Linked DNA regions of Rhinolophus ferrumequinum. The protein of the gene in region 1 interacts with the protein of each later gene in a pairwise test. Links are inferred from orthologs where the notes say so. Each region holds a gene or a part of one and is shown on either strand. Other genes may lie near its edges.

Region 1 (7,640 bases):
ACGTTTTCCAACACCTGAAGCCAAAACTAATCAAACTTAAGTCAGTTTTCCTACTTAATTGAGTAGGACAAAATGTAAAACTGGGAGGGGCCGACAAAGAAAGGATTAGAGATTAGAGATTTGATCTTGCAGGTTTAGAGGGAGATTACAGCATTCAAGGTTTCAGAAGGAGCATAGTTCTCAGGGAAAGGCAGTTAAATTCTACCAATAACAATAGCAATGGCAGCTCATCATTTATTGAGAATTGAAGCTCACTATGCTAAGCAAGTGCTTTCCATGGATTATCTTATTTCACACTCCTCAAACCCCAGAGGTAGGTAGGTACTATTAATAGCCCTAATTTGATGATGAGGGAACTAAGACTCAGAGAAGTTGAATAATTTGCCCAAGTTGCTGAGTATCTCAGCGACTAAGTCATGCTTGAAATTTGATTCAAGAGCCAGAGTATCACCCACTGGGACAATGTGCTGCCCAAATGTTCCTCTTTCTCCCCTTATACCCTCTATTCCCCCACCCCCAGCCTAGTCTCCAAAAATGAAATAGAACGAAGAGCTCACCTGCAGCCACTGTCCCTGGAGACGGAATGAGAACTCCACCCATGTCAAAAATCACCGCTCTGTAGGGGCCGCCTCCAGAACGAGTCCATCGCCGGGCTGCCTGGTGCCTGCACTGGTTGTGTTTCAGGAAGGCTGCCCTCCAAGCCCACTGGAGAGGGGACTGGAAAAGCCGCCTTATGCACATGTTGTGGCCAAGGCTGCGTGAGAAGGCACAGGGCAGTTTGCCTCCAATCCAGACTCCCCCCCTGGAGCTCAGGGGTGCCAACTGGACATCTCCACTGACCTCCAACGCTTCAAACCACAACCGGAATTAAACTCGGTATCTCTGCCCTCCTTGACTACTCCTTCTGGGGTCCATAGCTCAGTAAAAGGCTCCACCAGTCACCTAACTGCCCAAGCTGGAAAACTGGGATTCGCCCCTGATGTCCCTGAGTCCCCACCCGGCAACCTCAACTCCAGTTGCTCAGTTCTTCCTCCTGAAAATCTCTACTACCTCTCTCCGCTCTCACTGCCATGACCTCACCCACAGATCATGGCAACAGCCTCCTAAACGGCCCGCTCGCCTCTTCTTGAACCTCCTCATTTTTCCTTCACTCTTCAACCGAGGAATCTTTCAACACTGCAAGTTTGAAACCTCCTATGGCTCCCCATTGTGAGGGTGAAATTCAGGGAATCAATAGCGCAGTTAAACTTAGCTAGTTTCCAACTTCACTCACCGCATAGCTCACTATCTAGCCACCTGTCATTAGACTTAGTTTGCTTGCAGTTTGATCCATCCTGATACTCATCTGTTTTCTCGTTGCTTCTCCCCTCACTGATTGACTGAAGAACTCTGTGCCTTTCCTCAGGCTACCCGTACCTTGTTAATTAACAACATCCTAACCTGAAAAGAGCAGTTTCTTAATCCTTAGGCACTGGGACACTGGAATCCCATCTACAACTTCTTGCAGGTTTTACTGGTGATGCACAGTCGCAAGGGCCAAGGCTGAGTCCAGAGCTAACATCGTCTCCAAACAGACCAGACCCCAGGAAGGATGTCAGCCCTCAGACCTGCCTGACCGACTCCCACTTTCCTATATAAGGAAAAGCTAACCTGAAGTTAGTGCAGCAGCCCACTCTCAGACTCCGGACTCTGCCCTGGCGACACCCTCCCTCCTACACCCCCCCGCCCCTGTTTCTCTCCTTACAGCCTGTGGCAGCCGACATCTTTGGACACTGCCAAGGGCACTTTCTCTCTTCCTAACTTTAATAATAAAACCTTTCTTCTTTCCCACTTTGTGTGTTTTGTGTGAATGCTTTCACCTTTTGTGAATGACCAGGGGTTAATTCCACACCACGAGACCCATTACTCTTATGATAAACTTCCTGAACCTGACTGAAAAGGACCTTTAAGATCTGTGTCCCCTCTTTCTACACCTTAACCTGGATGATCTAGACAAATAAATCTACATGCACCTTCCTGAAACAATATTCTCCTCCTGCTCCTAGGCCTTTCATATGCTGTTTTCTTGGCCTAGGAAGCTACCTTCCACCTGTAACCTGGCTAACTCCAAACTGTCCTGTAGGTGGTAGTTTACCTGTCACTTCCTTCCTGAAACCTCTTCTGGCTACCAGAAAAGACAGATGAGGAGTCTTTCCTGTATATTCCTAAGATACCCTGTATTCACCTCCTCCTAGAAACAAGGATGCCACCGTCACACCATCATCCCGCCTTCAGACCATCACTGCAATGGCCTCTTGTTCTCCATTGCCTCTTTTCTAAACTTACTTTCAAAAGGTTCAGGAAAAAACATACACAACACACACACATACAAGGTCTGACAATTAAGTTCACAAACTTGTTGCAATGATATTGCTAATCTTTTTGCTATCAGAGGGATTATTCATTATGAATTTGTACCGACTGGACAGTTAACCAAGTTTACTATGTGGAAGTGCTGAAAAGGCTGCATGAAAAAGTTAGACGACCTGAACTTTTCCCTAACAATTCATGGCTCTTGCATCACGACAATGCATCAGCTCACACGGCACTGTCTGTGAGGGAGTTTTGAGCCAGTAAACAAATCACTGTATTGCAACACCCTCCCTGCTCACCTGATCTGGCCCCCAGTGACTTCTTTCTTTACTGGAAGATAAAGGAAATATTGAAAAGAAGACATTTGGATGACTTTCAGGACATCAAGGGTAATACGACGACTGCTCTGATGGCCATTCCAGAAAAAGAGTTCCAACATTGCTTTGAAGGGTGGATGAGGTGCTGGCATCAGTGCGTAGCTTCCCAAGGGGCATACTTCAAAGGTGACAGAAGTGATATTCAGCCATGAGGTATGTAGCACTTTTTCTAGGATGAGTTCAGGAACTTACTTGTCAGACCTCATATTTATATCATGTGGAATTCACAAGTCAGGCAGAAATACAGAAGTGATACTGGAGAGCCTCCTCACTATAAAAACTTTAAGTCTCCTTTTCCCTAATGTCTTAGCTCCCTAGTCCCTGGTTGGAATCATTTCTCAAATCAGTTTCTTAATCGTAAACAATAGATTGTTTTTAACTTGAATCATAGAAATATCCTACCCCCTCCTTTAAGTCCCCTAAATCTTGTGATTTATGCTTGTTGTGATTTATCTTGTTGATTATTGTCATTGTAGCAGAGCGTTCTTTCCAGGCCTACCTCCTGGGTAAACAATAACTGAATGACCGATTAAACCAGAAGAAAGACCACAGGCTCCATGAAGCTGAACAAATTATTCGTCACACAGTCTCCCTGCGTCAGTGGCTTTCTGTCCTGCTCGTTGGACCAACACTTTTAACTCTATTAACTAAAATCTATCTCTCCTCATGTCGGGTCCATTAGGATGCCCCACCAAGACTTCCAGTACATTCTGACCACAGAGGTCAACATAGTCCTCCAGGTGGATCCCAAGATCCCTTACCCTCATCTAAGATCAGATAGGGCGAGAGTCCCGTGAATCCCCAATAGGCAGGGACAACGGCCACATTCAGCAGGAAGCAGATACAGAAGAGATCTCCTGTTCCTCAATGTCCCACAGAGACTTACCGGGATCACATCTCTCATGGGGGACATAAAGCAGGCTGTTAGAGGCAGGAATTGGGTCTCTGAGACACCTGGATACAGCAGGTAACATTCCTCCACTTCCAACAGTCTACAAGAAATAACCACCCAAAAGACCTCGGCTCTCCGCCCAAACTTGCCCTTGTTTACCATAACCATTAGCCATTATCAATCACAGGTATCAACCAAGCAGCCCCACAATTAGAGAGGAGCAGCCCATTCTAGAAGAGAAGGAAATAAAAACTCCAAGTCCTCACCAGTCAGCGCCTTTTGAGCCACTCTGTGGCTCAGGCCCACTCCTATCTCTCTTTGGAGTGTACTTGCACTTCTAATAAACTGCTCTTTCACCAGTGTATTTCTGTGTCTCATTCAATTCTTTGCTGGAGATACCAAGAACCTGGACAGGGCGCCGAGAAGGGTCCGCTCCCAGGTCACTTCCTCACCACACCAACAATGACTAGGCTCTCAGTAAACGTTTGTGAAGTGATGGGGCGGGAGTAGGACCCAGATCTATCTCCAGCACTGGACACTTAACAAACCCACCGCCCTACCCTAACAGCGATGGAGACACTGCAATCCAGTCCTTACTCCCCGCGGGCCCTCAGAGAAGCGCATTTACCTGAGTCTCAGCGAACCTATCTGTAAAGTGGGGCTGACACAAAGCATCCAGCCTTGAGCTAGAGCTAGCGGTCAAATAAAACAGAAAGGCACAAGGGCTCTCGACTGAGCGCGGGTTTCTCGGACCATTAGGAGAACTCGCGGGGACGGAGACGTTCCGCCGTCTGCTGAGACAGGCTGAAGGCGAGACCAGGGCGCACACCTACCGATCGGCCTAACAGGGCCCGCGGCGTCCCTCCTTCCCAACCTGCTCCCGATCCCGTCAGGCAGGTTTAGGCTCAGACTCACTTCCACCCCAGCCAATCAGGGCGCGTGCTGGTCTGCGCATGCGTAACCCTGCGGGTCAGCGACGGCGGCCGGGAGGCGGAAGTGGAAGTTGTTGTGGCGCTGAGGGTTGTGCGAGGATCTGCTGCTGCTGCTGCTGAGGCGGCGGCAGTGGCGCTGAGGTGGTGGCGGCGGCGCTGCTCACACCGGGCCGCTCGGCCTGTCGGCTCGCGTCCCAGCCTCTCCTGAGCCCGCCGGGGCCCGCGCCGGCCAGCGCCTGCCCTATGAGTGTGTCACTGGTTGTTATCCGTCTGGAGCTCGCAGAACACTCGCCCGTCCCCGCCGGCTTCGGCTTCAGCGCCGCGGGTAAGTCCCGCGGCCTCGCCGCCTTCCCTGTTGCTCGCGCCTGGGCCCCGGGGGGAGCTGGTCCTCCTAAAGTACGGGCTCCGGGAAAGGCCTCGGCGAGAGCTGTTTCTTCGGGAAGAAGCAAAGAGGGGGCCGGTTCCCTCTCACTCCATCCTTCCTGAAGAGGCCTTCCCAGGTGTGGACGCTGGGACGCCCTTCCCGGTCCCTCCCTCTTGGTGCCTTCCCACGGGCACTCTGTTTCTACCTGGCGCGTCGCCTCCGCCCTGGGTTACAGTCGAGTTTTGTAAGTTGTTTTCCTCTTGGCTTTGTGAAGGCAGGGACTGGATTTCAGCGACGATGAGGGTCCTTGGTTTAATTAAATCGTTCCTCTTTGAAAATGTATTCACTCAGGCTTCTTGTAACAATAGCGATCATTAATAATTCACATTTGTGCATTTCCTGTATCCCAGCTCTGTACCTGTGCGTCTTGTCTTTAATTAACAACTCTTATTAGGTTACATGGGTAGATGCCCCTTTTTACATACAAATTGGGAAACTGAAGCCAGGTGATTGAATGAGTTGCCCACGATTATCTGTAAGTGGTGAAACTGGGATTCTGATTCAGAGAGCTGGACTTGAAGAGTCGGAGCTGTTCCTTACCGGCCACACAACCTCCTTAGGAGAGAAAGGCAGCTATGACTGTTCCTCAAACAATTACCTGACAACATTCATTCAAGAAATACTTGTTGAATGCTACTGTCTGCCGGAGCTTTAGTTGTGTGCAGGATCAGAATCCCTGCTTTATTGGCCCCGGCAGTTCATTGGGGAAGACAGATGAGTTACAAAATAAAGGTAGAATTAGAAGTGTGGTACGTGCTGTGAAGGTAAGAAAGAAACAGTGTGGAGAACTATTACAAGAGGATGTGTTTGGTTTGGGGAGGGGAACTAGAGCCCGTAGGGATGGTGTCATTGGAAACTTTCCCGAGTATGTGAATTTTAGAGCTGCAAAGTAAAGATTGAATATGATTTAATGAGTTACGATGGACACTTTCCAAAGGCTAAAAGTGATCTCTGAGTTCTGAAAGTCAGCCAAGTCCTCATTTGCCACATACACACTTCTACATGGGTGGGTCATTGATTCATTTGGTCATTCAGTAAATCTTTAAAAAGCTTCCAGTGTGTGCTAGGCACTGTGGTGTAAGTGGTGGGCAAAGTAGGCCTTGTCCCTGCCCTGATAGAACTTATCTTAAGGGTATTTCAGTTGAGTCTCCAAATTCCTTTTCCATTTTTGTGTTTCACTGATTGAAGACAGTGATTGCCGATTTTCATAATACAATTCATGGCATGAGGTTAACATAGGTGGTTTAAGTAGACTACCCCTAACGGGTTTTGAAAGTTTTACTTTTTAATGATAATGACTTGATACCTTCCTTTGGGCTCAATACACAGTTGTACTTTACCAGGTATTACAAAAAAGTTGGCTCATCTGGGTATAATCATTCTCAAACCTTTCTTTAAGCTCTTACTCTCATTGGTTTGCTTTAAAGTGAATCGTTTCACTGGAACAGTCCTGCATTTCTGAATTTATTGCACTGGGTGTTTATTGACTGTCTGCTTGGTACTGCAGGAGCCCCAGAGGTGAGTGAGATGGGCACTGCAAAGGCATCTTAATATCTTCGGGGAAGGAAGCAGAGAGAAAAAGGAAACCTATTGGTGGGTACATCGAGAGTGGAGAGGAGCCCGTTTTATTATCAGGTATTAATCATTCATGTGTTCTTTAGCTGGGGAAATGTCTGATGAGGAGATCAAAAAGAAGACACTAGCTTCAGCTGTAGCCTGTTTAGAAGGGAAGTCACCAGGGGAGAAAGCAGCAGTCATACATCAGCATCTTGGCCGTCGAGAAATGACAGATATGATCATTGAGACCATGAAGTCCAACCCAGGTATCCTTTCTAAAATCTTACACCCTGTTTTGTAATGTAAGCCCCTGGTTGCCTGTTTTACATGTTAGTCAGTGAGCCCATGATTTTGCCCTCTAGCATGCTTCTCTCTTTCACTGACTGTGTGCCGCCTTACCTGAGATTGTCGAACCACGTTTCAGCTTCTCCAAATATTTCTCCTAAATTAATCCTAGCAAGCTGGGTTGACAACTCTATTCAGTGAGGAGAGCTGCTTACCACCTAGGTCAGTGGCAAATCATGCATAAATGCAGATAAGCATGTGTGTCTCTCCCTGCCTGCTCTGCCAGCTCACTCCACCCGGAGGAGTGGATGGGTAGCACATCTCTAGCATGGAGGTGCTTAGAACTGGGAGGTTTGGTTTTCACACTTAACAGCCTTGAATGTTTGTCCCACTTAGGAGTGCGTGATGGAAGACACCTGCTTTTATTGTCTTCCTGACAAATGTAAGAGCCATCCTTGAGTTTCTGAGGCTATTAATAAAACTTTTATGGGGCAAAGAGCACTTTTTGGTTGAGATGCCCCAAACACTGTTCTGTGAATATAGGCCTTTTTTTTTTTTTTTTTTTTAAATTGGGGAATATTGGGGAACAGTGTGTTTCTCCAAGGGCCCATCAGCTCCAAGTCGTTGTCCTTCAGTCTAGTTGTGGAGGGCGTGGCTCAGCTCCAAGTCCAGTTGCCGTTTTCAATCTCAGTTGCAGGGGGCACAGCCCACCCTCCCATGCGGGAATTGAACTGACAACCTTGTCGTTGAGAGCTCATGCTCTAACCAACTGAGCCATCCAGCAGCCCCCATGTTAATATAGTTCTTAATGTAACACATTA
Region 2 (7,441 bases), on another chromosome or scaffold:
TGCCAGTGCCAAGAGAACATGGCTAGCCTGCTGGAGGGATATGAGGAACACGTGCAGGTGAGAGATAAGTGAAAGAGAGCCAGTGATCCCAGCTGAGACCACCCAGACTAGCCTAATAGCCAACCTACCCCAAGTCAAGGTCAGGAGAGTCACCCGGCCCACAGGTGGCTGCAGACACGAGAGGGCCCAGCCAAGGCCAGAAGAAACTGAGGCAGAGACTTGAAAGCAATAATGCTTATTGCTTTAAGCCACTATACTTTTGTATGTTTTTTTATACAGCAGTAACTAAACAGACAGATGCCCCCACTGTACTTTAAACAAAATTTTATCACAGCCTGTTTCTTCATCTGTAAAATGAGAAAAACCCCATCTTGAGAGCTGTTGTATATCCTGCAGCAGGTGCTCAATAAATTGAAGCAACTGTACACTCAACTCATTTCTTTGTAACCTACTTCCCATTCCCTTCCTGTAGGCTTAAAGACAGGGATAGAAGTCAGACTTCTTTCTCACTTCCCACCATTACCCTGTAGTGAGCCTGGCAAAGAGTGGGTATTCACTAACGGCTTGATGGATAAATGGAAAAATGAAAGAAGAAAAGGAATAAATGAATGACGTCTTCAAGGTGTCAGACAGTGAGCCTGACTGCTGGGGAGAACTGCCAAAGCCCTAGTCTGCCTTGCTTATTCCGGTGCCTGTGTTTTTGGATTCAGTCTTTCCCAGCTGCTGTTCTGCCTCATGACCAGGAGCAAGTCAGATCCTGGGCCGCCTTCCTCATCTGTTCAGACTGATGGACTTGAATGACAGGGTTAGGGGCATACCTGCCTTGTTATGGAATTTTTCTTTTCCAAATTAGAAATATCTTTTACTTTTTTTCTTTTTTAATTTTAAAGTTAACATGATAGCTGAATAAAGTCAACAACATACAGAAGTACATCAAATGGAAACTAAAAGCCTGACTCTCTAAAAATGATTAAGTTTGGGAATATACTCTCCTAGAAGACATATGTAACAAAATTATATATATTTTAAAATAAACACATACTGTCTATTCCTTTGTAAACTTATTTTTTCCTTTTCAAATTGTACACTCTTACCCTTTTTAACAGCTGTATTCCATAGAATTTGTGTGTACCATACTTTATTTAACCAATCCCAAGTTGATGGAAATTTGTTTTCAGCTTTTGGAAATTACTAACAACTGGAATTTCATTTGTTAGTAGCCTATTCCTTTCCTCTTCCAGGTAAGTAGCAACATGAAGCTTTTAGGAAACAATCAGATGAGATCAGATAGGAGGTTTAACAGCCTGGCTTAGAGAGGGTTTCTGTTTATGAGTTACAGGTGGAAGTAAAAATCAATGTCATGAAAAGTCTGCCAAATTACCGAATGTGTTCTGAAAGGTTATGTTTCCAGGTGCCAAAGGGAGGCCCAGATTCAACCTGGCTCCTGCCCACCTCTCTGCTCCCGTCTCCTATCCTCTGCTCCAATTCGGCAGCCCAGCCAAATGCAGGTACAGGAAGTTCCCTCCGCTGCCTCTGGGTCTCTGCACATCCAGCTTTCTCTGCTCCGAATAGTTTCTTCCTCCTTTCACCTTGCTAATTCTTCATGACTCAGCTCAGGTTTCACCTTTTCTGAGGCGTTTACCCTTATGCCCAAATCTTAGATGTGGAACTTCTCTTTTGGGCTCCCCAAATACCCTATATGTACTGCTACGGTAGCACCCATGACACTAGGGTGCTCTGCTTACTATCTGTATGTCCATAAACTGCACCAGGGCAGGAACCATGTTTTTTTTTTTCATAGTTCTATCCCTACCACGGTGGCAAGTAGTAACTGCTTAACAAATACATAAAAAATTGCGAGTGAATAATACTACAAAGGAGAGGAACATGAGGTTACCATAACTGAGGGATCTGACCTGGTCTGAGCAGTCAGAGAAGACATTTTTAAAGAAGTGATTGAGAGAAGAGATTGAGGAGAAATACAAATCAACTATAGAAGGGGGGAAAGATGAACACTCCAGACAGAAATAACAGCATGTACAAAGGCTCTATGGGTGAGAAGTTACTTTAAAGAAGGTCATATAACTGGAGGGAAGAAAGGGAGGGATATGTATGGTTAGACTGGAGGCTGTAGAGGTGGATGGGAGCCAGGCTGCGATGTTGATTGATGCTAAGAGCAATAAGAAGGTCAATTCTGAAATGGGGGTGGGCGGGGGGAAGTGAACAGTATCAAATTTACATTTGATATGGATTACTCTGGTTGCAATATGCAAAATGGCGGGGGGGGTCGGCTGGTTAGCTCAGTTGGTTAAAGCGCAGTGCTCTTAACAAGGTTGCTGGTTCGATTCCCACAGGGGCCACTGTGAGCTGCGCCCTCCACAACTAGATTGAGACAGCTACTTGACTTGGAGCTGATGGGTCCTGGAAAAACACACTTAAATAAAAGTTTTTAAAAAAATGGCTGGGAGGGAAGGCAGGAAAGATGTGATGATAGGACTATAGAAGTAAAGCTGATAGGACTTTATAATGGATGGGAAATATAAGAGGAATTAAGGATAACACTTGGGTTTTTTACTTCTTTAATGGTGGATACAGGTGAGAACACTGGAAGAGACTCAGGTTTGGAGTACATGGATTATGAGTTCAGTTGCAGATATGTAGAGTTCGAGTTGTCTTTGAAATATCCTGAAGGAGCCTAAGGGGACTTTAACAGCTCAGGAACCAATCAGTAAGTGGACCAATCAGGGCTAACTAGAAGCCAGCCAGAAACCAGCGAATCATGGCAGTATCAGATGTAGGTGCTGTGTAGCCAGACTTTCCTATTTAGTTAAATGTTTTCCATTGTCTTCAGTCTCTAGTTTTCTTTCCCATTTAAACTTTTAAGGAAGGATGTGAAACTCATTCAGGTTGATGTGTACATAATCCAATGTGGGCCACACAGGTTTCTTTTCTCTGGGCAATTCTGACTCGTTGGAACAAGTCTTAGGCTAGAGAGGCTGTAGACTCAAGTTACAGACTTGGCTGGAAGTTAGCACACTAGGGTCTAGTCCCGGCTGTCACTGATTTGGTGTGTGGCCTTGGGCAAGTCACTGCACCACTCTGGGTTTCAGTTTTACAATCTGTGAAATGGGGATAAATATCCTTGACTCGTGAAGCTCAAAAGAGACACTGGATGTAAAAGCGCTACATTGCTAAATGTAACAGATCTGTCATGAAGACTAAAAGGAATGAAGCTCTAACCATGGAGGTTAGAGAATCCCATCATGGAGGGTGTAGGGAAAAGCGGTAATTTGGGGACAGGATCCCTAGTAAGTGTGGAAAGATCCCTTTGAGACTGAGAAGCAGGCTCTACCCTGGAGTCTTCTTGCTTGAAAGGAAAGGGGCAGTGCAAGCCCCATAAATTTTCATACGTCTCCAGTATTAGGGCCTGTGTCTTTTTCTGATATTACTCCCATGTCTTGAAGAGCGTCTCAGTTCATCAGGAAAACTAACCCTATATCAGGGCGTTTCAAATATCCCACGCTGTGTCAGAGATTTGAGGCATTCGTATTAGGGGGCCCCATGTTTGTGATGGGGCAGGTTCTTAAGCACTCCCGAATCTGTACGGGTATGTCAGCGCCCTTCTCTCTCCTCCGCGCCCTTCTATTCCGTATGGGTGTAGAGTCTTGTCCACTGTGAAAGGAGGTAAGGGTTTTGGGGGGGAAGGGGTCTCTGGTCCCCGAGAAAAGAAATGACCCTCCCCTCTCCATAGAGCTTCTGTTCCCTGGAACGGGTTCCCTATTTTCCCGCTGGACTCACCCGCAGTTGCTGCCCTTCCAGCCTTGGCGTCCCACTCACTACCTCAGGGTTACCCAGCGCAACTCCATGGTAACTACCTTCGCTAGTACATCTCGGCCAGGCGCCGTAGGCGCTGCCGCGATGCCTACCGGGAGCTGTAGTTCGTCAGGGGCGGGGTTCTAAGGCCGCGGATGTGCTGAGATTTGTAGTCTTTGCTCTCAAGTCGAGGCGGGGGTCCGGAAGTAGTGACACCCCTTCTCCTTTCCCAGTGGCCCTCACACTTCCTTTTCCCGGGTCCTTAAGCGTGCCCTTGCGTGCATACCAGCCGACAGGAGCCTATCAGAGGGCGGTGCGAGGGGGCGGGGCCATAGTTTAAACTAATTGTGCGCTCCGCGCTGGCGCGAGCCCGCGTCAAACGCGATCGGAGGAAACGGGAGGCGGAGCGGGAGCGCGCGGCCAGGTAACCGGCGCGGGCCCGCGGTTGGCGTTCGGCCTGGGCGCCCACAGGAATGCACAGGCCTAGAGGGGGTGCTGGAGAGGCAGGTGCCAGCGATAGGCCTCCTGCGTAACGGAGTCTGACTGGGGAGACTCTATTGGGAGTAAGGTTTGTGAGGGGAGGGGTCTGTCGGAAGGGGAGGGGCTGGGCGTGCTTGGGGGGAGGGGAAGAGTGCTTGGGGGCGTGTCTGTGGAATTATGTCTGAGAGTGACGGTGGGGGGTGGGCGTGGGTAGGGCAGATTCCTGAAAGACTCGTCACGAGGGGTCCTTTAATGGGAAGTCTTCGCCTATTACTAACAATAGTAGTGGTAATAGTAGTGGTAAACATTTTCTGAGCACCAGCTACGTGCCAGACACTGTGCCACATGCTTTGTATGGATCGTCTTGTTAATATTGCTAACAACCTTATTATACTTTACTGCAGATGGGTCATCTGAGGTTTAACTTGGCCAGGATTACATAGCTAGTGCATGGTCGACTACTGGGGATTTTGAGGGTTGGGCCTAAATGAGGACCGGAGGGAGGAAGGGCTTTGTCTGTGGGTGCAGATTGTCTTGGAGGAATCAATTTATTTTGTCTCACTTTTCATATATGTAAACAACGAACCTACCTGCCTTACCTACTTCTTGGGGTTGTTTTGAGGGTCAAATCACGTAAGGTGTTCTGTGGAAGCATCTTGGGGAGTATAAATTTATGACTATAAAGTTACTGTGAAGGTTGTTGGTGGGAAAGAGCCCTCTCGGTGCCCTCTTTTGCTTCCTGATGTAGCGCTTTTCATCTAGTAACCTAAGAGTGTCTGTCTGCATGTTTGCCCTTCTAGAAACAGTGCCCTTTGTCCCTGTATTGTGATGCCTATGGCATGGCCATTAATGCATGCTTTGAAATGAATGAGCTTTCTTGGGCTGAAAGGGGATAGGAGCCTGGCTTTCCCATTTTCATTTAGTGGCCTTTGAACCTTTATTAATACAGTCCTCTTGCCTGGAATGGCACTGCCTCTTGAAAATGTGATATATACTTGCTTTAATCCATGCTTCGCTCTCTGAGGTCTGTTGCCTGATCTTGTATTTCCAAAGTTCTAGATTGTCAAGTGTGTTACTCTGTGGTAGGCAGAAACTTTTGATAGTAAGGGAATTGGGGCCCTCTACCTTGGGGAGATCTGTATGGGAACTTGGAGGGAATGTTCAGATCATTTAAGGTAGCTTTCAGTCAGCAGGGATGAGTGGATGTGTTCCCTCCGTCTGTTCCTGTGTGGTATTTTCTCCTGTAGAGGAAGAGGCACATACAAGTACTTCTCTGTAAAAGGACTCTTGACTCAAATTCAAGCAAATGATGACTAATTGTAATGCCAGAATTTTTATCTAAAGCCAAAAACTCTACCCCACCCCCAAACTAGAAGATCTTACCCAAAAGTTCACATAATAAACATTTCTATTTAGAATATTCTTTTTTAGGGGATCAAATATATGGTGATGGAAGGAGAACTGACTCTGGGTGGTGAACACAAAATGTGATCTATAGACGATGTAATACAGAACTGTACACCTGAAATCTATGTAACTTTACTAACAATTGTCACCCCAATAAACTTTCATTAAAAAAAAAGAATATTCTTTTTTGTTTATGGAATATGGGAGTGGGAAGAATGCCTAGAAGACTCAGCTTCTAGAACTCTTAAGATGGGGGCAATGCCCTGCTTCAGATGGCTAAACAGAGCTGATCAAGGAATGTTTGACAGCTGTGTCTAATTGATAACACCTTACGGTCAATAGATATGTTTGGAATCATTTATTTCAGCCTCTTACCCAGTGTACACTAATATATGAAAAGATGTTGTCCAGGGGTGGCCGGTTAGCTCAGTTGGTTAGAACCCAGTGCTCTTAACGGCCGGGATTGAACGGCCCAGTTCAATCCCCATATGGGCCACTGTGAGCTGCGCCCTCCATAACTAGATGAAACAACTACTTGACTTGGAGCTGATAGATCGTGGAAAAACACACTTAAAATAAATAAAAGCTTTTTTTTTTTTTTTTTAAAGATTTTATTGGGGAAGAGGGACAGGACTTTATTGGGGAACAGGGTGTACTTCCAGGACTTTTTTTCCAAGTCAAGTTGTTGTCCTTTCAGTCTTAGTTGTGGAGGGCGCAGCTCAGCTCCAGGTCCAGTTGCCGTTGCTAGTTGCAGGAGGCGCAGCCCACCATCCCTTGTGGGAGTCGAACCGGCAACCTTGTAGTTGAAAGGACGCGCTTCCACCAACTGAGCCATCCGGGAGCTCACCGGCAGCTCAGCTCAAGGTGCTGTGTGCAATCTTAGTTGCAGGGGGCGCTGCCCACCATCCCTTGGGACTCAAGGAATTGAGCTGGCAACCTTGTGGTTGAGAGCCTACTGGCCCATGTGGGAATCGAACCGGCAGCCTTCAGAGTTTAGGAGCATGGAGCTCTAACCGCCTGAGCCACCGGGCGGCCCCAAATAAAAGTTTTAAAAAAAGGTGTTGTCCATATTCGAAATGAACACTTACAAGAATGAGACCACTCAGGCAGTCCATATCAACGTTGAGCAATACTAATTAATAATTATTGTTATGTGCTGTTGGTGACAATTTTATTTTACCCATGTATATTTTCTTTTAAATTTTTATTGGGGAATATTGGGGAACAGTGTGTTTTTCCAGGACCCATCAGCTCCAAGTCAAGTCGTCGTTTACAATGTAGTTGTGGAGAGCACAGCCCACTGGCCCATGTGGGGATCCAACCGGTGACCCTGGTGCTGTGAGCACTGCGCTCTAACCAACTGAGCCAACCGGCTGCCCCAACCCATGTATGTTTATTCTTTGTTTTTTCACCATTCTTTCTTGCATGTCATTCCATCCTTTTGTGTCAAGCAGACAAATGTATCCTTCAAGTGTTTTTGTTTTTTAGTGACGATCTGTTAATAGTAAACCCTCTTTGTTGGAAAATATCTTTATTTCCTCTTCAGTCTTGATTGATAGTTTAGCAGGGTACAAGGCTTCCAATTATTTTCTCGCAGCACTTTGAAAATGTTGTTTCACTGAAATTCTGGCTTTTTGTTGTTACTCTTGAGAATTGTACTGACAACTATTTCATTATGGGTAATTTGCCTTTCTTTCTAATTGTTTTTAAGATCTTTTTTTCATTTATGTTCTGCAGTTTC

The links. The genes of interacting proteins can lie anywhere in the genome.
Region 2: the proteins of BRAP (region 1) and NUMA1 interact in a two-hybrid assay, tested with the Homo sapiens proteins (2 studies listed by BioGRID and IntAct). The link is inferred for Rhinolophus ferrumequinum from reciprocal best matches to the Homo sapiens genes BRAP and NUMA1.

What each region holds. Positions count from the first base shown.
Region 1 is NC_046308.1:6,973,556-6,981,195, reverse strand, and holds the start of BRAP (BRCA1-associated protein), read left to right. Parts: upstream 1-4,604; 5' UTR 4,605-4,796; coding exon 4,797-4,878; intron 4,879-6,638; coding exon 6,639-6,800; intron 6,801-7,640. Other genes in the region: ACAD10 (acyl-CoA dehydrogenase family member 10), read right to left, coding at 558-754, 4,250-4,296. UniProt on the Homo sapiens protein: Negatively regulates MAP kinase activation by limiting the formation of Raf/MEK complexes probably by inactivation of the KSR1 scaffold protein.
Region 2 is NC_046294.1:47,675,199-47,682,639, reverse strand, and holds the start of NUMA1 (nuclear mitotic apparatus protein 1), read left to right. Parts: upstream 1-4,150; 5' UTR 4,151-4,237; intron 4,238-4,264; exon of another isoform or gene 4,265-4,381; intron 4,382-7,441. UniProt on the Homo sapiens protein: Microtubule (MT)-binding protein that plays a role in the formation and maintenance of the spindle poles and the alignement and the segregation of chromosomes during mitotic cell division.